Linked DNA regions of Notamacropus eugenii. The protein of the gene in region 1 purifies or fractionates together with the protein of each later gene. This does not show direct contact. Links are inferred from orthologs where the notes say so. Each region holds a gene or a part of one and is shown in the gene's direction. Other genes may lie near its edges.

Region 1 (12,568 bases):
GTGGAGGGAGACAGAGGAGAAGAAACAGAATTCCAAGCAGCTGCAGGACAGAAAAGCAAGTCCCTATCCAGAGCCCGGGCTGCAGATGAGGAGGAAGAATGCATGTGGCCATATTCATACATGCCTGCGGGTCAATCGGAGCAGTGGAACTTGCACCCCAGCTCCCCACAGAGACTGCCAGGAGAGCCTGAACTTCCCTGTCTGGAAAGGACAAGGGATCTGCCTTCGGGATCCTGAGCTATCCCTCACTGATGGGGGAGGAGGGAAGGTTTGGGGCCGAGGAGCAGTATTAGTGAGAAACAAGGAGATCCTGAGGACAGGATATTTTCCCCTTCTCTTTCTAGTTTCCGACTTCCCAGGCTGCAGTCAGCTAAGCGGCTGCTCTAAGCTAATTGATCGCCAGACTGTTGGCTAAAGTAATAGGGAATTGATATAAGTAACTAAGTGCCTCTGGGGGCAGAAGCCAGGAAACAGTTAGGGGGAGGAGCAGCTGTGGGACTTCAACCTCTCTTGCTGTCCTAGCCTGGATCCAGGGTTATTTATCCTTGAAGGACATGACTTATATGTTCAAACCTAAAGCTATGGACTAAGGATTTAGAGGGGTAAAAAGGGACAAAGCCTAATGGAGTGCCCAGGGATTTTCTACGTGTGGGTAGGGATCGCTACTAAGGCTCCTGAAATGACTCTCCTGAAAACACTCTCAATGTCTGTGACTCTGGGAGAGGAGAATTGAATGCTAAACATTAGACATAGAGATGGAGAAAACAGAGCTAAGGACCAAGTCCGTTCCAAGGGAAAGGATCTAAATCTTGAGAATGGGGATAGGTCTAAGTGGAGGGACCAAGGTGAAATAGCAGGAATGGCATCTGAATCTTGGGAATGAGAGGCTCAAACACCGAGTGATGTCAAGGTGCTTCATTTCACTTACCTCTCATTTTGCTCTATCACAATTCATCTCTTCAGTAAACCTCTATGGTATAGAATTCTTAGGACCCCTGAGCTCCCTGTACTCCTCCCTTTTTTCTCCCTAATATGAGCTGAGAATGGAATATATATGTATACATAAGTGTATGGTGTGTGTATATATATATATATATACACACATATGTGTGTATTACACATATGTGTATATGGTATGTGTGTGTGTATAAATTGAGGAAATGAGTCGTACTTCTTAAACCATTCCCTAGAAAGTAGTCTTAAACAAAGAAAAGGGAATCTGGGGAGTAACTTGTAGGATGGTGTGACTATGATAAGCCCTATTCATATGCTGGTGGTTTTTCAAGGGGACTCTTTCTTTGAGACTTAAACGCTTAAAAGGCATGATAACCAATCTATATATACATCTATATATATGTATACAAATACACCCATCTACATACATGCACATGTACATACATACACACACATATAAATAAAACAAATAGATCAAATGAGATAATATTTGTAAAACATTTAGAACAGTGCCTGGTGCAATGTGGTTATCTCTCTCCTGACTCTGGAGATTTTCCAGTTCCTTTGGGCCAGGACTCTCCCAGAAGTTGCCCTAAGCAATTGATAAGGTTGGGGAAAGTAATTTTAACACACATTGAATTCGGGGATGAGTAGAGAATGAAGCTGGGTGTTAGAATTCCTGGGTTCTATTCTCTGCTGCTAACTTCTCCCCCTCTGCTTTTCATGTCTTATCTCCCTCCTCTGTTCTCCAGTATTTCTTGCTCTGATCCCACCTACTTCCTAGCTGGATTCCTCTTGCGATATTCATTGCCAAGGTATAGCACCTTGCTCAGCTGCTGGAGCCACTGGCAGAAGGGAGAGGAGCCAGTAAGGAACACTCATCATTTTGTGCAGGGTGTGTGTCTATGCACATCTGGGCATCTCTGTAAAAAAAATGTGGGATGTAAATGTTGTGTTTAAATTCATGTCTTATGGCTAAGCCCTTCTACCCACTACTTGGCTCTTTTTCCCATATCGCAGATTCCCACTAAGTCTTCCAGTGCCTTATCATGGCAGGGAGGTGACCCTGGGTCTTTCAGAACCATGCCCACAGAACAGAAGGCCTGGCAGAGGATTCCAAGCTAGAAAGTCTGAGTATAGGCCTGGAAGACTATCATCGGAAGACCATCCTAGCTAAGTTCTAGGAGGTACATCAGTAGAAAGTCAGTCATCACCAAGTCCTGAAAATATATACCAAACTACATTCCATCTTTATCATTCTATAACATGCCAAAAATTGCCATGCCTTTTAAGCATTAAAGTCTCAAAGAAGGGTCTCCTTGAAAAACTACCAGGGTGTGAATAGGGCTCATCATTGTCACACCATTCCACAAGCTGCTCCCCAGATCCTCTTTGCTTTGTTTAAGGCTACTCTCTAGGGAATGGGTTAAGAAGTCTGACTCATTTCCTCAAGATCCATCAAGGCCTTTAAATGTAAATGTTTTCCAAACCATTGGTGTGTCCTTTCTGGGATGAGAAGGGAGCCTTGTAGCCAGAGAAATGTGGTACTTGATGAGGAACCATGCACCTATTCATATGACCTTAATATATTTTGACTGCCAAGGTATCAGATTTGGAAGCAATCTTGCCAAGTTAACAGTCATGTTGCTACTATCTGTAGCATCATCTGACCAGCACAGGGTTTTGTACAACTTTTTGATAATGACCAGGATGTGTGGATACACGTGTGCCCAATTCGAGGAGGGACTATGTGTATGCATGAACCTCTGCATGTATGACAAGGAAAGCTTGTGAGGGTGTATATAACTAGAGGAGAGTATATGAGTATACATAATTAGGGGAGAGTAAATGTGTGTGTCTGTGTGTGTCATTGGAAATATGTGTGTGTGTGTGTGTGTGTGTATACCTCTGTGCATAAAGAAGTATCATAGAATCTATAGCTGGAAGGGACCTTAGAGGCCCTAGTTCAACCATTTACTTTACAGACGGAAAATTGAGGTTCAGAGAGGTTAAATAACTTGCCTGATGTTACACAGGTTTATAAATGGTAGAAATGGAATTTGAACTGAGGTTTATTTGGATGAAATCTATGTCCCTATAGCGTCCATCCATTACAACATACCTCCATTCACAAATGTACACATAAACAATCTTTCAGTTATCTTTTCTGTCTCCGAAAGTGTGACTCCTTCTTCAGCACCATGCACAAAACTCTTTCTCTGTGTGTAATAATAGTAGCAGTAGAAATATGTATATGCATACTTCTATGTGTATAAATAAGTGTATGTACGTTTAAAGCAACTACACATTTGCATGTAACTTAGAGAATGTGCGACAAAGCATATGTAACTTGGTATGCTTGTGTGTGTGATTGTGAAGTTGTATGCAAGATTGCAGCTTAACGAAAGGAAGAATGTCCTAATGTAGGTATCTGATAACTTAGGTATCTGAAAATAGAATTAGGGTTGTGATTTCTCCAGTAGAAATCAGTAAGGGCTGAAAGACCCCTCTTCAGGAATTTTGTAAGGGAAATTAGTACATGGCACAGAATATTAAAGTAAAATGACCCTTAAATTCCCTTCTAATCCCAATTCTGTTGTATGGAAGCAGTTCCTGTAAAGAGAACTGCTTCACTTTAGACACTTCAAACATAGACTGCACTATTATAACTGTGTGTGATTGTAGGGGGTCTTGAGAAGGTGAAGAGCTCCTCTTTGTAACTGTGAGAAAGCAAGCATACGTCCATGGACTAATGTGTGTCAGTGGATACATATCCTGGACCCAGATCTTGCCTATATTTGATGCTTCAAAAACAGATAGATGGAAAGAAACAGATATTCAAAGGCAGGCAGCTCTGGAGAGAGAAGCTCTGGGTGGAGAGTCACATAGGGTGGCAAGACTCCCAGGCTTGGGAAGGGGATGGCAAGGAGTCTGTGATAAAGAGCATTATTAAAGTTCAATGTGTGTATTCGAGATTGCTTCTCTCTGCATGTACTATCAGTGTGTCTTTGTGTGTGCTCTGTGCATGGGTTTGTGGACATGTATTTGAGTGAGTGTGTGCAGCTGTCCCTTCATCAGTTGCTCATCCATCCAACCCCATGGTCCAACCTCAGAAGCCTGTATCACTGAAAAGCTAGGGGAAGATGAGAATTGCTGGTGAGCCCTGAAAAGTTCAAAGTTGTCGAGCCACAGAAGGTCAGAGCCACCCCTGGCAGAAGGAGATGGGGGTGGGTCTGGGAGGAAGGAATCCATTATAGGATGGAGAGGGCTACAAGAGAAAAAAGGGAGAAAAGGCAAAAATCAGGGTGGATGGTGGTAAAGGTTGCCTGATGGGTTCAATATTTCTATACTCTGTGTTCTCTGTGTGTGTGTGCTCTGTGAGTCTCTGCACACAGATGTTGGAGGGATGCAGGAAGAAGGCTATGTGTCTCTGGTTGGAAAAGAAAGATTGCCATGTACAGGGTGGAGTAAAAGTAAGAAGAAAGACAATGCCTGCATGCCCAAATGCAAGAGCATTTATTTTTAGTGATGTTTATGAAGATGTGTGTGTATATGTGTGTATACGTTTGTGTGTGTGTGTGTGTGTGTGTGTGTGTGTATACAAGAATCCAGCTTTCCCTCCTCCCCGGTATATGTATATTTACTTAACCCTGACTCATAACAATAAAATCCCAATGCCAAATTCCCCAAACTTCACTCTGTGTACCCAGTAGGTAGGAGTGAGTGGGGTGGGGCACAGTGCCCTCTCGTGACCACAGAGGACATAAGCATTTGCCCCCAGCTCTAGCTGGGTATTGGACTTTTGGTATGCACAGCACCAGAATCAGGAGTCTGGGAGACAAAAGGCAAAAGACTATATGGCTGCCCTCAAGGAGTTTATAGTCTAGCTGAGAAATCATCATACGCCCTGAAAATGACTAGAGAATCTCTGTACCATTCATCAATTGTATAATTCATAAATATGTTTGGCAAGAACCAGAATCCCTCAGTGGTGATGGTTTATAGAATATCTGAATGGGGTCTCTCTTCCCCCAGTAACTTCTTTCTCACTGTTTCTTTTTGTTTCTACTTCTGTAGCTCTTTGTACTTTTTGAGGTCTGCGATTCTCCATGTTTCTGTCTGTAGCTCCTTGTACATATCTTTCTAATTCTGTCTCCATGTGCCAATTTCTCTGTTTCTTTTGGCCTTTCTGTGTATCTCTCCACATCTCTGCATTTCTTGCTGCATCTCTGCTTTGATATTTTTGTTTTCTCCTGCATTATGTCCCCCCTTCTCAACAAAGAAACTAACTCTAAGAGGCTCACTTTGTCTATGATAGAACCCAGGCGTCCTGGATTCTAGCCACCATCCAGCACAGAGAATCCCTAGGAGTTTGGCTCCTATCCCTCCCAACCTCCCTAGCTTCCCTTCAACATCCTGGCAAAACTCTGAATGCAGCTGGAAGAAATAAAGGGTTACAAAGGAGAAGCAGAGGGAAGGAAAAAGCCTGTATTGGAGCTATGGTTTAAGCAACAGGACTACTCCTCAGGCAGAACAGACCTGGGGTGGGGGAGAGGATTCTTCTAGCATCTGCCTGTTCTCAGCTTGACACAGCAAAACAAGAGTTAACTCTATTTGTCTTTCTCTCCGCCCCTACCCCTCCATCACTGTCCCAGCAAAGGAGACTAGGTTGGGCAGCTCAAGTTCTTCCCCACTGGGCTGAAGTAATCAGAGTCCCCCGAGGGACTGGGGGACCAGGAAGTCTATGAGAGCTGATTGGACCTAAGAGCCCCCCCAGAAGGGGAGAGCTGGATATGTTGGCCTAGGGGCCTGAGAGAAGGAATGCTTGAAGGACTAAAGACACAAGAGAATGAGAAAAGGGCTAAAGGATGGGACAGGAAGCCAGCAAACATGAGCCCTGAGTAGAACTCAGCCTTCAGTCTCAAATCACCCAGCCTGACCTTGGCCCCACAGTTTAGGATAAGATTTCTAGAACTGATGTCTGAAAGACAGTAGGAGAGTGACAGTGGGGGAGGGGGTTGGGAGGTGTTGAGGGGGAGAAGATGGTGCAGGCAAAGAGGTGGAAGAGCAGCCAGGAAGCTTTTTAGGTGATTGAGGGGGTTCTACCCCCACCTCCACCCACCATAATGCCGGGAAATATCTAGCTACAAATGAGTCTGTGGTCACTGAAAGACTTGTGCTAATGGATCTTTGGGCTGCCCTAAAAGCCACAGAGGGAAAGGGAAAGCGGGGGAAGGGGGGGAGGCATCAGTTGGATTTATTGTAGGATGGATGAGGAGAGGAGTAAGAGTCCAATAGAAGGGACTAGAAAAATAGGAGGGGAGTTATAGGGAGAGGTTAGTTAAGTGCTGTGATTTAGAAAGAACTGGAGACCATAGGCTCAGAGGACGGACTAGGTCAGGATGAGATCCAGAAAATGATTATTATGGGTTTGGAGAGTGATTTAAATCAGAACCTGGGGTGTAGGTATTTGTGGGGGGGAGGGGAAGGGGAAGAGGGATTTGCTGAGTCAGTTACTGTGGCTAGATCAAAGATACAAGTGATTATTGGACCAGGACCCTCTGTATTTCATGGGGGAGGTAGAAACAAGGAGCACTGGTCATTCGTTTAAGCAATTGGAATCCTCCAGGATTCTTTGTCTGTGCGGGTGGGTGGATGGGAGTTGTGAGTGGCCTTCTCATAGCCAGTTCCTCATCCCTTAGCTGAAGGTGGTAGGCTCCACTCCTCACTACCTCCCTCTTCTTATAGGCCATCAATTATTCAGCAGCATAGATGACTGAACGGCTCTGCCTCTTCCCCGGCTCCGCCCCCAAGTTCCCTCCCTCTTCTCCCTCTATGTTTCTCACTAAGGGCTCAGGCACAGACAGCTGGACTGCTTGGAGGCACGACTGGCTGGCATTGCCCCTAGTCCAGGCCTGGGCATCTTACCCACTTTTCTTCTTGCTCCTCCCCTTTCCTCTTTCCATCCTTTCAGTCCCGGGGACATCATCCCTCCCTTGATCTCCCCAAGATGCCCATCCAAATTTTCTGTTCTCTGTCCTTCTCCTCGGGTGAGGACCCGGGGACTATAAGAGACAGCTGGGGCTCCAACCAACAGCAGAAAGAGGGATCTGAATCTGAGTCAGAAGAGGAGGAAGAGGAAGAGGAGAAAGAGGCAAAGGAGGAAGAGGAAGACTTAGCTATGGACTTGGTGGCCTTTGCCAACAGTTGTACCCTCCATGGTGCCAGCCATGTTTTTGTGTCAGGAGGCTTAGGGCCACGCCAGGCGTTATGGGCTGCGGCCTTTGCCCTGGCACTGGGCACCTTTTTGTACCAGGTAGGAGATCGGGTGACCTATTACCGAAGCTACCCACATGTGACATTGCTGGATGAGGTTTCCACTTCTGAGCTGGCCTTTCCAGCAGTTACCTTTTGCAACACCAATGCTGTGCGGTTATCCCAGCTCAGCTATCCTGACCTGCTCTACCTGGCCCCACTGCTCGGGCTGGAGGATGGGGAAGACCCTGGTGTGCCCCTTGCTCCACCAGGCCCTGATGCCTTCTCTGGGGAGCCGTTCAACTTGCACCGTTTCTACAATCGCTCCTGCCACCGGCTGGAGGACATGCTGCTCTACTGCTCCTATCGAGGGGGCCCCTGTGGCCCCCACAACTTTTCTGTGGTGAGTCAGGGTCATCCCCCTTCATCCCCAACAACCCAGAGAGCATGGGGCCTGCCTTCCCATTACCTCCAGGGGCATGAGCATCATCCCAATGGCTTCTACTCCAAGTGGCATCTGATCTGTGTCCTACGAAATTCCCCTCCACAATGCCCTTCCCCTAAGAGAGGGGTTGGTTCCTGTAAAAAGACCTTTGCAAGCTTTACCCTTGCCTCCAGTCCATCTCTAGATGATAGATCTGTTTCAGGGCCTTTGGGACAGGGCTTGAAAGTGGGAATCTGAGAAGGGAAAGAAAGAAAGAAAGAAAGAGAGGATTTGAGGTTAGGATCCTCTGAGGTTTGGTCCATATCCAGGAATCTGGTGGACAGAGGGACAAAAGAGAAGAGGAATCAGGAGCTTCTGCCAGGGTCTATTACAAGGTAGAGGTGGGGAGAGGGAGTGGGCAGACAATTAATTGCTTCCCTCTTTCATGGCATCAAGACCAGAGACAAAGGCTTCCTGGGCATTAATGGCCCATACAGAGATATATTCTTCTCTAGTGCTTTTCTAAAGTTCTGTCTTCTATCCCCGCCATGTTGTGTGTGTGTGTGTGTGTGTGTGTATGTGTGTGTGTGTGTTTGTGTGTGTATGTATTACTGCATCTCACAAGGTCAAGACTATATGTGACCAGTAATGGGATATGATCTTCCCATGGCTGGCTTCCCTCCATCTTCAACTATTCTGAATCCTTGGGGAAAGGGTTGCTAGTACTAGGTACTGGGAATCATTCGGGTTCCTGGGGTTCCACTCTCAGAAGGAATCCCAGCCCCAATCTTGCTTAAGAGTTCCAGAGTCTGTACAGTTGGTGTGGTCAGAGGTCACCATGACACCTGTCCTCTCTCCAAGACACCAATTATTTGACTTCTCAAAACATTTTCTGTTCCCTTTCTCTAAAGTCTAGGTTCTAAATCTTGGCAGGAGAAATAGGGGGATGGACAGACTATGTCTCATCAGAAAGAATGGAGACCTGGTAGAAGTATAGCCATTGTGCTCCCAAGCCCATAAGAATAAACAAAAGATCCTACAGAAATAGATACATCAGGAGTAGAGAAGAGAGGATTTAGGGAGAAGGGTTATGTCAGTGCCCAGGGATAAGCTGGCACTTCTCATCTGGAACCACCAGGTGGCAATAGTATCTCATAGCATGATGGGCTAAAATTCATTCCCCCTTTTCCCCACCCCCCACCCTCACTTAGTCCCTTTATTTCCCCAACTAGTGATAGATATTGAATCTTTTGCTTCCTGAAAATCCTCCATAGGACACGTTAGATATTCAAATACTGAATAAACAAATTAATGAAAAATTAGTAAATGAGACACTTTTACCAGAATCATAAAATAATAAAAAGGAAAACATTCTTAGAAATCACCTAATTCTTATTTTTTATTTTAAAAATTATTAATGCCTTTTGTCTTCATATCAGATTTTTTCTCATTGCTCTTTCTGGAATGAATGCTCCCTTGTCACAAAGGAAAACAATTAAGCAGAAATATAGAATACAGATACTGTCTGGTACAGAGACTGTATACAATATTCTGTCCTGGTAGTCCTGTCCATTGTAAGGAAGGAGGTATGTTTCATTATCTCTTCTCTGGGAACTTTGCTGGTTTTCCACTACTGAGAGTTCAACTTCTTTTTAGCAATCTTTACATGATTATAGTTGTTATATACATTAATCTCTTGGTTCTGTTGTTTTTTTTTTGTTTTGTTTTGTTTTTTACTACTTCAGTCCATATAGATCTCCACATTTCTCTGACTTCTTCATAGTTGTCACAGGAACATTATTTTACATACATATGCCATGGTTTTTTTTCAGGCATTTCCCGATTGATGGACAACTCCTTTGTTGCTACCACAAAGAATGCTCATATGAATGTTTTGGTATATACGGGACCTTAATTTCTATCTTTGACTTCCTTGCCCTTTTCCTGTCCCTCTCCAGTTCTGTAGATGAAGAAATTGGAGCCTAGGGAGGAGAAGTGTCATATTCAAGGTCACACAAGTAAATGACAGAACTAAGAGTTGAACCCAGGTCTTTTGACCCCAAATCTGTTGCTTTCTCTAGGATACCACAATACCTTAGCAATACCTAATGATCTTCCTGACGGAGGGGTCTGACTCTATTCAAGAAGACTTCAGATTACTACCACACTCCTCTGGGTCTGGTTGGCAAGTCATTGGGCTTTGATTTGGGATTAAGACAGAAGAATTTAAGAGTCTCAGATCCTATGGTTATGCTAGCTGGACTTAATCCACAAAATGAGGGAAAAGAGTATTTTTCCTGGTTGTGGGGAAGGTCAGCAGGTGTGTCCTAAGGATCTCTAGATTCTGGGACCCTGGACTCTTCTGAGGGTGGGGATTAGGAATCAGCAAAGAAATGGTGTTTTTCTTCCTCATTTCTGACTCTACCATACTCATTTCTCTTTTTCTCCTAAGCTCTCTCTTTACGTGGGGTTTTTAATTTGAGGTCTATGAACTTTAAATAAAAATGTAATTTGGTGGCAGTTTTTTAAAGTATTAATTGGTTTCTTTTGTAATCCTGTGTATTTTGTTTTATGCATTTAAAAACATTATTCTGAGGAGTCCATAGGCTTCACTCAGTTGGCAAAGTAGCAGATCATACACACACACACACTTTAATTACCCTTGAGTTATAGTAATTTTATAATATTCTTTGGGACTCTACACTATTCAAGGGTAACAGTACCCTGGTTATAACCACACACCCTTAGATTGTGGAAAACTGTTATTCTTAATTAGTTCTGTGGGAACATTGGTTTAATAATTATGGACATTTATAAGGTGCTTAAAGTTTGTAAAATATTTTCCATATATTATCCCATTTGATCCTCACAACAACCTCGTGAGGTAAGTACTAGGGGTATTATTATCCCCCTTTTATAGATGAAGAAACTGGAACACAGGGAGATTGTGATTTGCCCATGGTCACATAGCTGGTAAATGTCAGAGGTAGGATTTGAACCAAGTTCATTAGAGCTCAAATCCAATGATACTCCATCCAGTACTCTATCCACCAGACCATGCTTCTTTTCTCCTAAGAGGATCCTGAGAAGATCAAAAGGCATGAGAAGTGGGGGCCATGGAATAAACACTATAGGTCAAGGGCCTTTCTGTCTGTGAGCAGAGAGTTCTTCCGGGCCCTCTGTGGAAATGACTTCTCAAGTGTTCCTTGGTTAGTGGTACTTAGTACCCCAGGAGGTAGCCAGGAAGGGCTGAGGTACCAGTTATCAAAAGGTATTCAGGTAAACCTAGCCCAAGCCCAGCATATTGATTTTGTTTCTGTCCTTACCTTTTTCTGTAATGAGAGAAGCATAAGGAACAAGGGGAGTTCCTCAGGAGAGATAGAGCATGGGATGGCTAAAGTGACCTTTCTCCACTTTGGGGTTCAAGGATTTGGGCCAAAGGCATTGATAGTCTTGGTTATCATTAGGTTGTGGCTGGCATATTGACACAGGATCTGGTGAGTGTGCTTACTGATTGGGCTCCTAGTGCCCAAGGGGCAGAAATGGGCATGACAGTATGGGGAGGGATTAGGTGATAAACTTGGTTTGTGCTATAACTGATAATGAGATAAATTGATTAAGGTTATGGGAGAGGAGAGGAACGTTGGTTATTGGCCAAGAGATACAGGGTGGTGGATCTATGGGGGAGGGACATGAAGGACTGGGACTTGAAGGGGGCCCTATTCCAGAGGGAATGGCACTGTCACATTGAGGGGCAGGGGATATTTTGTGCTGTGTGGCAGGAGGGTTTGGGATCTAGGTAGGCAGGCTAGTTCCAGAAGGATAAAATAGTTCTAGGGGTCAGGAGTCTGGGCAAATCAAGGGTAATTTGCCTTAGTACTGGGGGACAAGAAGGTTCTAGAGGGGAAGGGGCTCAGGCTCAGGTTTTGTCTCTCTGCCTCCCACCAGGTCTTTACACGCTATGGAAAATGCTACACATTCAACGCAGGCCAGGATGGGAGGCCACTGCTCAAGACTATGAAGGGTGGGACAGGCAACGGGCTAGAGATAATGCTGGACATCCAACAGGATGAGTACCTGCCAGTCTGGGGAGAGACGGGTATGGGCACTTAACTGCCACTGCCATCACTACTCAGGGTGCCATCTTCCCAGCCATCCTTCATCATAGCACTTACTCCCCAAAACCTAAGCCCTGAACATTGTGCCTTCCCCAGGTCATAGCCCCAAGTGCTCATCTCCCAAGTTCCCCGTCTCTGTTGGGACTATAGCATCCAGAGTAGAGAACTTCCTTTTCACTTTGTATATCTTTCTGTATCTTTGTTTCTTTGACATCCAGTGTCTGTCTGCCTGCCTATCTGTCCTTTCTTTCCTTGCTCTCCATCCTGGCTCAGTTCCTCTCCAAGGTAACCAGCCATCATTTTCTATCAGAAACCGCCACTCAGCTCTATAAATAACTCCATCTTCTCTCAGGCTGCCTGCCATATGCTCTCAGGGGCCTTGGGACAGATAGGAGGGAGGGAGAGAGAGCAAGAGAAAGGAAGAGGTGGGGAAAAAAGAGATGGAGAGAAAAAAAGAAAAAGATGAAGAGAGAGAGAATTATAGATGAGTAAAAGCAGATGAGAATGCTGAGTAGGGATCTTTTTAGACCTAATGGATCTTTGGCTTCAGGAGAAACTTGGGGATCTTAACCCTCACTCCTTTCAAGTAGCCACATTTTCCCTCCACCTCTCTTCCCTTAAAAGCATTCTAGCCTCAATACTCCCAATCATCTATAATGATTTCCAGGATACAGAAAGGTGGGGGCAAACTATGTCAGAAAATCATGTCAGAAGAACCCTTCCTTTTGTAAGCATGTTTCCTGACATTACTGTTACAGATGAAACTTCCTTCGAGGCTGGGATCAAGGTGCAGATCCACAGTCAGGATGAGCCGCCT
Region 2 (12,774 bases), about 73 Mb from region 1:
AGGGAAGAGGGGTGAGTTTGGGGGATTATAATAATATAGCTTTGTTCTCTTATGTATTTTACACATTCTGTCTTAAATCTATGAACATGTATTATTTGTCACATTAAACTGAAAACTTCATAAGGTCAGGGATCATATTTTAGTTACATTTTCCATCTTCTATCTACATTTTATGTGTCCTTCAGCATCTGGAACAGGTGCTCTCCCAGGTGCTTAGTAAATGACTTGTCTGAATTGATTATAAAGGACCTGTGAGAGAGAAAGATGTCAGTGTACAATCTTCTTTTAACTGTTCTTTTTGCATACAGAAATTCAGTTGCTAGTTAGTGTTTGTGAAGTGTGGAATAACAAAAAAATAAATTATTTAAAATCATTAAAAAAATAAAATAGGCTAAAAGAAAAGACTACCATTAAGGGGTGTATGCAAAGGGCCTCATTACTTTTCTTGTTTTTCTGAGGTGGCCTGGTGGGGAAGATCAGAAGATCATGTTCTAAAAGGGCAGGAAGGGACTTCAGAAGTCATCTAGTCCAAGCCTCTCATTTTACAAAGGAAGAAACTGAGACCTAGGGAGGGAAATGACTTGCCAAGGTCACACAGGGTAGATGCATCAGACAGGGTTTGAACCTGGGTCCTCTGATGTCAGACCTAGGACTCTTTCCGCAACATCACACAGATACTAATTGGCTCTCCCATTTCACTAAGCAGGTCACCCCTTTGGTGACTGTCCATGGTGCCTGGGAAGGTGGTTCTCTCCATTGCTAACCAGATCCAGTATTACCCCTTTGTGCTGGTGAAGGGAATCCCAGCTGTGACATTTCCCCAGTGCCCACAAGGTGGCAGCATTTCCCCAGGAATCAAGGGTGCTTCCGGGTTCCCCTGTTTACCTCCCCCCAAGGGAACCAGCCAGTCCTATCTTTGAGACTGGGTTTGCCATCCCAGGCTCCGAGGGAGCCCCAGGAGCAGCGGGGCCTCAAAGGCAGAGGGTAGAGCACTGACAATTCTATCTAATAAGTTAATCAGATTAGCAAATTAATCAGGAGAGGCTGTTCTGCCCAGTGGTTAGAGAGCCAGTCTCAGAGTCAGGAAGACCTGGGTTCGAATGCTGACACATACTGGCTTTGTAACTTTGGACCTAGGAAGCTCTCCAAGATAAGTTGTAGAGCAAGTGCATTACCTGCATTGGTGGAGGGAGCTTCCTCATTGGGAGTTCCTCATACCTAAGATATTAAAAAACAAAAACATTTCTTGAATGTTCGCTCCGAGCACGTACCAGGAAGTACAGTTTAAATTCCACGATCCAGGTAGTTGCAACCAAGTGATGCCATCATAGTGCACAGAGTCAAGAAGACTCATCAAGTCTGGCCTCAGATACTTCCTAGCTGTGTGACCTTGGGCAAGTCCCTTCACCCTGTTTGCCTCAGTTTCCTCATCTGTAAAATGATCTGGAGAAGGAAGTGACAACTCACTGCAGTCTCTGCCAAGAAAACCCCAAATGGAATCATAACAGAGTTGGACACGACGGAAACGACTCAATAACATTGTAGCTGAAGCACAGGAAGGGATGGTTGGACCACACTGGCTTTATTCCTCCCACAAGCTTCTCCACCTTCAGCCTCTGTGACTTTGTACGGGTTGTTACTTCACACCTGGAAAGCACTCACTCCCTCATCTCTGCTCAAGCACCACTCAACCAGGAGGAAGCACCTAAAGCAGCCATCCTTCATTCTCTAGACTTTGGCACCTTCCTCTTTCCCCTTTTGTCCACTCCTTTTTATGTGATGTCATCTCCCATTACAATGGAAATGTTTTGAGGGCAGCAATCAACCTTCTTTTCCTTCTATTTGTATCCTCAAAGCTTAGCACAGTGCCTGGTACATGGTATACCTCTGCTGATTTGACCCTGATAAGTGGACTTAGAATTAAACAGGAAGAGGAGAAAGAAACCTGGCATTTGTGGGGTACAGCTTTGACACTGGCAAAGCATTTTATATCTGCTATCTCACTTAAGACTCACACTATCCTTGTAAAGGAGTGCCATGAGTATTTTGCTCTCTTCCTGTGTGTAGCAAAATTAGACCACGAATTTATGTGTGAATGTACTGTTTACTAACAAACATTTAAGAGAAAACAAAGGAATATTTGCATATTTTCATGGATACATAAGAATCTCAAATGAACAGCCTTCCCTCCCTCAAAAAAACAAACCTTGGTAACAGTTTATATCTCAAAGAAACATTATTAATTCACGAAGTTTTGAAGGGAAATCCAAACTAGAACAAAAGAAATGGAAAAGCCCAAGGAAGTAGTTCCTCTCTATTACAACTAGAAGTAAGGAAGCATTCCTTCATTGAAAAAGAACCTTGACAAGATTCCACCAATTCAGAATATGGTTGGTATCATGCCGAATGTACAGGTGCTTAAAGGCAACTCAAGACCTTGAGTTTATCTGGTGACTTGATACTACATTAAAATATAGAGGAAAGATGGGAATTGGCTGGAAGACAGACCAGAGAGCTCTGGTGATCATTGTTCAGAAAGCAGGTAAAGCAGACAACTCCACCATTTAGACTTGACTATGAATTGGTGATCAGACATTCAGATTTGCAGAAACTTCAATAAAGATCACCTCGGATCTCTTTGAAAGGGAAACAAACAGATATACATTGAAGTATAACATTAAGTTTAAGCGGGAGTGTTTTCGTAAATGAGTAACAATCAAGGCTCTTTTAAAAAAACTGTAGGGAGGGCACACTTTTAAATCTAATCTGCATGAACACTTTCTCCACTTTAAGGTTCAGACAGTCAATAAAACAATAAATTCAAACTGATTTGTTGTGCTTGTGGATTTCTGAGGCGTAAAGGCTCACAATGAAAATTAAACAATCTGTTCTGGAAGCTGAATAGGTCATAGAGGTTTTATACAAGGCATATTTTGGGGGGGAAGTGAGACCTACCTTCAAGTATTTATTTTATTATATAAAAAGTTTGGAATTGTTTCTTCCTTCAAATTTTCGTCTCTTACACTGTATTGGGAATCAGGGCAAATGCTCATTTTTTTTTTTCAAACCAAAGGTTCAAGAAATTATGTATTCTTTCAATATACTGAAGCTGAAGAGCTCAATAATTAATCAAAAATTAAAATCCCTTATTATGAATTATATGTTTTTACTAACTTGCCCAATTTTATATTTATTAGTTTTCATTTTTATCTTATCTCACAGTAAAAGCTGTGTTTAAATAAGAATAGATTGATGGGATAGGCAGCTACGTGGCGCAGTGGAAAGAAAGCTGGACTTAAGGAGTCAAGACTGATGCTTGTCCATGAGGAAGATGATGCCATGACTTGCAAGCGAATTGGATTTAAGTGAGAGGGGACTGTGCAAGGTCATAAGTCTCACTTTCTCCCTTGGAATCATTTGGTTCTAGTGATAAGATATTGATCAGGACCACTGGAGACTGCCCCTTAGAGTCAAGAAGATCAATTCAAATTTGACCTCAGACACTTAATAGCTGTGTGCTAGTCACTTAGCCTCTGTTTGCCTCAGTTTCCTGAGCTGTAAAATATGAGTGTTTACCTTAGAGTTGTGAAAATTAAATGAGGTAATACATGCTGAGTATTTTGTTTATAACTGTGAGTTATTTCATAGAATACCAGACCTGAAAAGGCCTTTAGAAATAGTCTACGCTATATTATTAAAAAGATGATTAATAATGTCTAGATATGGAAACAGCAATCCCCAAGAGCCAGCATGGCTTCACCAATGAGTCATACCAACCTAACTCTATTTCTTCTTTTGACAGGGATACTAGACTCCTGAATCTAGGAAAGAGATGCAATAGGTAGTTCACCTATTTTAGAAAAGCGTATCATAAGTCTCTCATAGTATTCTTCTGGACAAATTGGAAAGGATGAATTTGGAATTAGTTAACTGGCCCCAGTGCTGCCATTCTGGTTCAGTGTCAACTTGGAAGGTCTCCCAGTGCTTGACCCTGCCCTGTCATTTACTCTTTTAGTTAATAACTTGGATAAAGGTACAGATAGCACACATCAGATTTGCCGATTACACAAAACTAAAATAATTAACACAATAGATTAGCCATATTCAAAAGGACTTTGACCAGATAGAACATAGAGCCAAATCAAATGCAATAACAATAAATAGGGGTAAAGGTGAAATCTTCCATGTGCTTAAAAAATCCAGCTTCCTAAGTACAACATGGGAGGTGTGGCTGTAGAACAGTTTATCTGAAGAGGATATGGGGCTTTTAGTGGACCACAAGCTGAACACCAGCGTAGTAGGAAATGGCACCTAAGAAGGCTAATGTGATGTTATTGAGAGGCAGTGTCCAGAACAAGAGAGGTGACAGTTCGATGTACTTTGCTGAGTGTGCTCAGTGCTAGGTGCCATATTTGGGCATCCAGAGGAGGGTGACTGGAAGATGGGCCTGGAGTTCACGCTGTTTTTGGATGAACTGAAGGAACTGGGAAAAAGACTTAGATGGGACCTATAAAGGCGCTCCATAGAAGAGGGTCTCAATCTGCTTGGCCCAATGCATTCTGTAGAGTAGCCAAACTGGACTTTTTGGCTTTTCCTCACTCAATTTTTATTTCCTGTCTCCATGTCTTTGCACTGACTGAAGCCCATGCCTGGAATGCACTCTCTCCTCACTTAAAATCTTAGAATCCTCTAATTAATCCTTCAAATTCCAGTTCAAGGGCTGGGCTCAGAATGAGGCTTTTTCTGATCCCCCTTTCCCCACCTCCAAGTGTTTTCCTCTGTAAAAACTACCTTGACATCCTGCCATAGTGGATGGAGACTTGGCCTCAAGGCCAGGAAGAATTGGATTCAGCTCCCTTCTGACATACAGTGAGGGGGCAGCTAGGCGGTGCAATGGATAGAGCACCATTGCAGGAGTCAGGAGGACCTGAGTTCAAATCTCACCTCAGACACTTGACACTCACTAGCTGTGTGACCTTGGGCAAGTCACTTAACCCCAATTGCCTCATCCTGGGTCATCTCCAGTCATCCTGATGAATATCTGGTCCCTGGATTCAGATGGCTCTGGAGAAGTGAGGCTGGTGACCTGCACAGCCCTCCCTCACTCAAAACAAAGTCAAGTGCAAGTCATGTTATTATTTCTCTGATGGCACGGTCTTCTTCGGCAACAAAAACGAACACAACGAGGCCAATTCACTGAACTACTCAATTCTATGATTGTAAGTTTCGGAGGAGGTGCCACCTGCATCAGTAGAGGGAGTTTCTTCGCCTGGGAGTTCCCCATTGCAGAGCTGCCAATGAAGCTTCCAGATTAAAATCTAAGTCGGGGAAACGTTTAATAAAAATGCATGTTGCTGTACTGGTTTCTACATCTGACAGGACTAGTTCCTAACTTTATACGTTGCTAAGAGTAGACGCTGAGTACGCCAAGAGAACGTAAGCTCTAGGAGGGTGGAATTGTGGGGATGGGACCTGAACCCCGAAAAGGAAAAGCCCCCGGACGTTCCCACGAGGCCCAAGCCTCGGGCTTTCTCCTGAAGCCATCGGGCCTTCCCGGTTAATCAGCTGCCCCTTCATTGTCCGCACCCAGCTCCTTCCTAGACCACCAGTCCCTCATTCCCATCTAGACCCCCTCTGTGTTTCCACAGCTTTCTGGGACCCTGAACAGGGGCTCGCGGGCCCTGCTCCGACCAACCCAAGCCTGCTGTCAGCCCAGGACAAGGTTTATCGGAACCCCGACAGCGGGCGGTCACAATCCTGAAATCTGCCACAATGGCCAGAAGTGGACAGCGGGGGGCAAGAGGGAATCAAGGGAGCGGCGGTCTGGGACGGAGTCAGGTGGCCTGGGCACTGGGCAGAGTGCAAGGCACTGCCAGGTGTTCAGCGCTTCCGCACCCCCGGGCTGGGTGCACACAGAGAGCCCCTCACGAGGAGACCGCGCCCCAGGTGGGAAAGGGCGGCTTCGGAAGGCAGGGAGGCCTCCAGGACATTCGAAGCCAACTAAGGCCAAAACCAGGGGCGCCAGGACGCTGAGCGGCCCCCGGGCCTGGCTCCGGGCCCGCCGCGGGGATCGCGGACCTGGGGCAGCAGGGGGCTCTGCCCGCCCAAGGTGTCCCCGCATCCCTGCGCCACCCCCGCCCGCCAAGGGCCCCGGCCCCCTCTGCCCCGCGGCTGCACAATGCGGGGCGCGCCCGGTGACCTCGCGCTCCCTCCGGCGGGGGCTGTGACGGCCGGCGCCGAGGCTGCACGAGGCCCAGGCTGCACGAGGCCGCAGCGAACCACGGAAAGCTTTGGGAACGCGAAATGATGCCCGTAGTCCGGAGGACTGTGTGCAAGGGCGGGGGGCGGCGCCAAGCCTCTCTGACCCAATCATTCGCTGCCACGTTCAGCCGGTCTCTACGGCGACGTGGAATTCCCGCCCCCATTTCCGCTCCCTTAAGCGCTCGGGGAGCTCGAGAGGAAACCGGAAATAAGAGGGTCAGGAGGCGGAGGAAGTGTTGGAACGAAAGGGACGGGACTTCCGGCCCCGCCCGGGAAGTGACGCAACAGTCGCGGCCTCGGGCAGGTAGAGCGGCCGGTGACTCCAATTGCCGACGCGGCCCGAACCCGGCCCGGGCCCCGGGGCGGCCGCCGCTTCCGGGGACAGGCCCCCGGGGGCGGGCGGCCGGGGCAGTGAGCTTCCTGTTTGGCAAAAGGAGGCAGAGGTCCGAGTTCATCATCCCCGACGTGGTAAGAAAAGGGGCTCCGCCCCCGCGCGCTGACGGGAACGGGGGCGGGGCCAGACGGCGGGGCGGGACTTTAGAGCGAAGGGGCGGGGCGTCCATGCAGTGGCCTGTGGGGCGTTAGAACGCTAGGAGGCGGGGGCGGGGCTTGTGGTCTGGGGGAGGATTGAGGGGGCGGGGCTTAAACGAGGGGCGGGGCCAATGGTTGAAAAAGAGTGGAGGAGGGGGCTATGGAACCCTAGGGGGAGAAACTTACAGGGGCGGGGCTTAGCCATGGAGGTTTGGAACTGAGAAGGGAGGGGCCGTGGGAGGTTTGGGTGGGTCTAGGAAGGGGGCAGGGCACAAGAACGCCCCCTACCCACTTTCCTGTCCTTAGACGGTGAGGGGTGTGGGGAGGACGCCCCCCACAAATGCTGGGACCACCTCCTTCCCACACCCATCCTGGCACTGGACTGGTGGGTGTGGCAGTTTGGGAGGAGATGGGGAAGTAGGTGCATCCCTGACCCAGGTCAAATCCAGCCTCCCTGGCAGTCTGAACTTCTGCCCCAGTTTCCTCCACTGTACACATCGTAGGTGCTGGATAAATGCTTATCTCTTCCATTTACAGAAACTTGGTTTCTCCCCCAAAATCTACCATGGTGCCGTGCATACTATAGGTGTTTAATAAATGTTCTTTGTATTGTAAACCATTCTCTAGCTCCAGGCCTGGAAAGGGAGGGTCTCTCCCTGGCCCCTGAGCTGAGGGGAGCCAGGGACAGCAGCCTGATCAGGACATGGGAGCTCCGGGGACCATAGAGCAGGGGACGGGGGCTAAGGATGGGGGCTCTCCTTTGTTGCCATGGGAGGCGGAGACTGCCAGGACCTGCCCCAGGTTTAGTAAGAGCCTGAGATTCTCACTGTGACTCTGAAGGCCTTGTGATCCTGGCCAAGTCTTAGCTTCTGGTTCTTCATCTATAAAACAGAAGTGATTAAAAATACTTCCACATAACTATTATTACAACAAATTTCCATAAGAGCCTGGACAACCTGGAAACAAGAAAAGTTTCTGAGTAAGAAAAACATGTAGAAAGCAAATCACAGAGTCAAGATGGAAAAGATTTAAAATCAGGGCCTTCCACATCCAGCACGTTTCAGTGCCTGGTGTCAGGCACGTAGTAGGGGCCTAGTAAGAGCTTTGCTTGCTTACTACTACACTTATATACCGGCTCACTACCTGCATCTGCTTAACGAGTCATTTAACATTTCTGAACTCATTGGTAAAATAAGGTGCTCGGGCTAGATTCTGGTTACTAAAAGTGACTCCCCTGGAAATCATCTTAAAGTTCTATAGGAAGGAAGGGGCATGAGCAGACCATACACCTCCAGATGTGACAGAAAGGGAAGGGGGACTGTGACGTCCTTCTCCAGGTATAAGCCATGGGAAGATCTCAGTATTCCTTGTTCCTCATCTGGCCTTCCAGGGAGGGTGAGGAGCTGGGACCTATGGCAGGTACAGGGGAGAGAAGGGGGATGGGACCTCAGGACCTTCTTCCATCATCACTTGAGTTCTCTGAGACTTTTGTTCTCCTTTCCCTACAGAACTGGACCATCAGTCTTCGAGGCCAGCCTGTCCCAAACCTTGGAATCATGTTTGCCGACATGGATTATGACATTGAGGAGGATAAGCTGTGAGTGTCCCTAAAGAGCATTTTTTTATGGGGTTTGAGAGGTGACGGAAGGTCCCGCCTTATTCTGAGGGGATTGTTTTCTGTTCTGGGCACCTGTGTCTGAGAAGAACATTGACAATCTGGAAGTGTCCACAATGGTGGGGAGGGGGTGTAGCACATCTGGGCACGTGCAGCCTGGGGACCAGAAGGCCCGGGAGCCAGGCAAGCTTTCTTCATGCCTGACGGCCACAATTCAGGGGAAGTGTTGGGCTGATCTTGTTTGGTACCACCGGGCAGCACCAACAGCAGTGGGAAAAGAGATCGAAAGAAGTCACCTTGGGTTAATGTCAGGGAAAGCTGGCTAACAATTCAACTTGTCCAGAAGTAGGCCAGGCTGCTGTCAGTGAGGTAGGGACTCCCTCCTTGGAGGTCTCCTAGTAGAGGCTGCAAGGCTACTCTTGTTGGGTGTGGCTTAGGTGAGGGCCCCACTGAAGTCTCTTCCTGGACCCCAGAGAGCCCCAGAACAAGTCCAGCCTGGCTCTGTCCCCATCCTCCCAGATGCCCTAGTGTTCCTTGTGGGTGGCCATAGGTGTGGAACAGATGTCACATCAGGGGACGGGCAGGCACTGGAGGCCAACACAGCCTGTTAGTCCTGCTCTAAGTCACCACATAGGTTTCCTTTCAAGCCTCAGAGGTGGTAGTAGTGAGAGCCCCTCTCCCGGTGTTGCTGTTCAGTTGTTTTCAGTGACTCTGTTTGGGGTCTTCTTGGCAAAGATACTGGAGAAGTTTGCCACTGCCTTCTCCAGATCATTTGACAGATGAAGAAACTGAGGTGAATAAATTAAGTGACTTGTTCAAGGTCACATAGCTAGCGTCTGAGGCCAGATTTGAGCTAGGAAATCCAGACCCCTCACTCTGACCCTGTTGCCTTCTTTTCCCATGTTACAGATGAGAAAACCAAGTCTGAGAAGTTACACATCTTGCCTGCCCAACATCTCCCACCTCCCCCCATCAAGCCCTCCTGGCCCCAAGTCCCAAACCCTTCACCCTGAGACCTCACTGCATCCTTACCAGCTTGGCTTAGTGCAGGATTTGGAGTCTGAAGCCCTGGACTGGGGTCCTGCCCTGCTGCTTACTCCCAAGTGTGCCTTCTCTGGGCCTGGTCTTCCTCCTTCATAAATCAGTGGGGTAGATGATCTCCAAAGGCTTTGCTAACTCTGAATCTTTTTTAAGAGTATATATTTTATGTATTTCGTTAACTATTTCCCAGTTACATGTAAAAAAAATTTAACATTCATTTAAATACAGTTTCTGAGGGTATCACTGGAAGCCCCTTCAGGCCGTGACTGAAATCCCAGCTCTCCAGGCTTCCTCTCCATGTATCCCCCAGCGGGTGCAGTGAGGGGATTGGGGGGCCACAGAGGTCTTTCCCCTTCCTGTGTAAGGGGTGGGAGTGAACAAGGGAGGGGTCTAAGATCTGAGCGGTTGTGCTGAGCTCTGCACTGCTTGTTCCCCCAGAGAATGGAAGGTTCCTGAGGGCTCAGAGCCCAGCACACAATAGGTGCTTACAAAACCCTTAGTGATTAAGACTTGCTTTTCTTCCTTAGTAATAACTTGCATTGTTAATGTCTTAATATTTCCCAAAGCTGTCCTGTGAGGGGAACAAAGCAATTTCTCCATTTTACTGAGAAATTCTGTGACTTGCCCAGTGTCCTTTAGGCCTTGTGCCTAGTAGGAGCTAGGACTAGAACCCAGGACCTGTGAGGCCTGAGGCTCCAGCCCCATCCACAGGCAAGTCTGAATCCTTACCTGTTGATTTTTTAAACCTTACCTGGACAGCTGGACTTAGAATTGGGAGGACCTGAGTTTGAATCCTCCTTCAGATATGTTTGTGACACCAGGCAAGTCACTTAACCTTTGCTAGCCTCAGTTTCCTCATCTGTAAGATGGGGATAGCACTTTAGGCACCAACCAGACCTTATATCCCCAAGATTCATAGGGAGTCCTCCTGGGGAGGGCATCAATTTCAACATCCATCCTCTCCTCTCCTCCCCTCCCCTCCCATCTCTCCTCCCTTGACTCCCCCATCAACATCTTGGATTCCTAACACATTCCAGTCCTTCATGAGGTATAGGAGCAATCCCCAAAATCTTGTCTGAGCCCCTGAACTAGAATGAGCTCCTCAGAGGCAGGTACTGTCTTTGAAGCCTTAAGGTTACCAAGTATAGAGCACAGTATATCTGAGAGACCTAAAGTGTGTTTATTTATTAATCTGGGGAAGGGATGTGGCTGTCCTCCCTCTTTTAGCTCAGGGCCTGCTCTGACCCAAGGGCTTTCAGGTTTGTAGAATGGTGGGTTAAGACCTGCTGGGTGGCCAGACTGGCCTCTTACTCCTTCCCCTCCCTGCAAGAAGCAGCCCCTGCCAGCTGCCTGTGCCCATCCTTGTACTTCATTACCTTGTGTCTGCAGTGATGAAGACCCTTGTTGTTTCCCCTGTGAGCATGCAGGCTTTGTGAGGTCGGGCCCATTTCATTCTTGGTATGTGTATCCCCAGAGGTGGGCACAGGGCCTGGCACAGGGTAGACACCTCACAAATGCTTGGTGATTGATTGATCGATTGATAGTTGGCCAGCCCTCATCAAGCATTTACTCAGCACTTACTCGGGGCTTGGTGGGTCAGAGAGCACAAAGATGAATCGTAATGACATCTCGCATTGCTATAGGGTGTTAAGATTTACAAAGTCTTTTGCTCACAGCAACTTTTTGAGGTGGGTGGTACAAGGGTTATTACCTCCATTACCTTCATTATTACCTCCATTACCTCTGGGGTTCAGAAACAAGGAATTGGCCCAAGGCCACCTGGGAAGTGTTGGAGGGAAAACTTGAAGCAGGATCTCTTGCCTCCCTAGCCCAGGGCTTATTCCATTGTACTGTACTGACTGGCGTTTGCTTTTGTCTTGTAGCCAGTGACATGTTGTTGTTTTACTGTTGGTCCTATGGCGGATGGGAAAGGGCTCTGAGCTAGGAGACTTACTCTACCACCAGTCAGCTGTCTGAGGATGAGGGGGCCTAGGCTGGACAAGCTCTTGGAGCTCCATGAGGAGCCCTCGATTAACTGCTGGTTCAGTGGATGCCAGCACGCAGGGCAAGGGAACAGCCCCGAGTTCCCGCTGTCCCTCATTGGCACACATGGACTATTGTCCCTCTCCCGACCTCTACGTTTTCATCTCTAAAATGGGGCTAATTGAATCTGTGCCTCACCTGTTGTCAGTTCCATGACCCCAGCCTCAGAGACGTGAGGGTACATATCAGAAGACTTCACAGAAGGGGCGTCTAGAATCTGACTTAGAATAGAGAATGTTCCTTTGCTGTTGGGTGTTGGGGGGTAGGAGGGAGAGCCTTGGGCCATAGGAGGTGGTGGCCTGGGACTTTGGCAGATTCTCCCCTACCCTTTGTGTTCTGGCTCCTTCCTGCCTTTATTGCCCTCTCCTTTCCTGTACTCTAGTGGCATCCCTACAGTTCCTGGGACCGTGACACTGCAGAAGGATTCACAGAACCTGATCGGGATCAGCATTGGGGGAGGGGCTTTGTACTGCCCCTGCCTCTACATTGTCCAGGTAGGGGGGCTTGGAAGCAGGGAGACAGGGAGGTTTCTTGGGGTCCCCTACAAGGAGGGGCAGGTTACCTTCTTCAACCTTGAGCAACTCTGAGGGGGAGGATTTATTCGATCTTAGGAATGATTCTTGACTGGTCAGGACATTTTTTTCTGCCTGACATTCCCAATCCCCTCAAGCATTTTGTAGGGACTGAGATAGGAAATGATGCCACATCCACGTATGAAGTTACCCTTGGGACCCACAGACTTGGAGTTGTACCAGGAGTAGAGGCAGATCTTCAGTGGGCCACCCCTAGCCACTCCCCTTGCTCACCTCCTCACCAAGGCCCTGTGCTGGCAGATAGCTTCTCCTTGAGGGCTGTGGTGGGCAGCATTGTGAATCAGTGGTTTGGGTGAAGTCATAGATGACCAGTCATAGTCTGGTCAGACTCATAGATGGCAAAAGCCGAATGCCTAGAAGAAGGGAGGGGCTGGATGACCAGGGATATTGTGAAAGGGTGGGGGGCTATCCAACTCTGGGAATCTTGGTGTCACAGCCAGTGGCCCCAAAGCTGTCACAGGCCTGCAGCAATTGGCTGGATCAAACCATGTGACATGTGGTCAGCTCAGATGGGGACTGTACCCCCAGGATCCAAAAGTCAACTTTGCATTGCCAGAACTGGGCAGCCTTGCTGTACTGTGAGCTGCTTACAAGCCGCAGTAGTGTGAAGGCTCTGTCCCCAAAGTCGATTTATTATTAGATTGTACATAAGCCCAGCAGGAGTGTGGATGTGGTCCCATTGGCCTTGGA

The links.
Region 2: the proteins of ASIC1 (region 1) and PICK1 purify together in Homo sapiens (affinity purification with western blotting; 3 studies listed by BioGRID and IntAct, with this or other methods). This does not show direct contact. The link is inferred for Notamacropus eugenii from reciprocal best matches to the Homo sapiens genes ASIC1 and PICK1.

Annotation. Positions count from the first base shown.
Region 1 is NC_092874.1:222,183,061-222,195,628, forward strand, and holds the start of ASIC1 (acid-sensing ion channel 1), read left to right. Parts: upstream 1-6,867; 5' UTR 6,868-6,964; coding exon 6,965-7,612; intron 7,613-11,581; coding exon 11,582-11,732; intron 11,733-12,509; coding exon 12,510-12,568. UniProt on the Homo sapiens protein: Forms voltage-independent, pH-gated trimeric sodium channels that act as postsynaptic excitatory receptors in the nervous system, playing a crucial role in regulating synaptic plasticity, learning, and memory.
Region 2 is NC_092874.1:295,539,200-295,551,973, forward strand, and holds the start of PICK1 (PRKCA-binding protein), read left to right. Parts: upstream 1-6,288; 5' UTR 6,289-6,303; coding exon 6,304-6,729; intron 6,730-8,300; coding exon 8,301-8,389; intron 8,390-11,873; coding exon 11,874-11,985; intron 11,986-12,774. UniProt on the Homo sapiens protein: Probable adapter protein that bind to and organize the subcellular localization of a variety of membrane proteins containing some PDZ recognition sequence.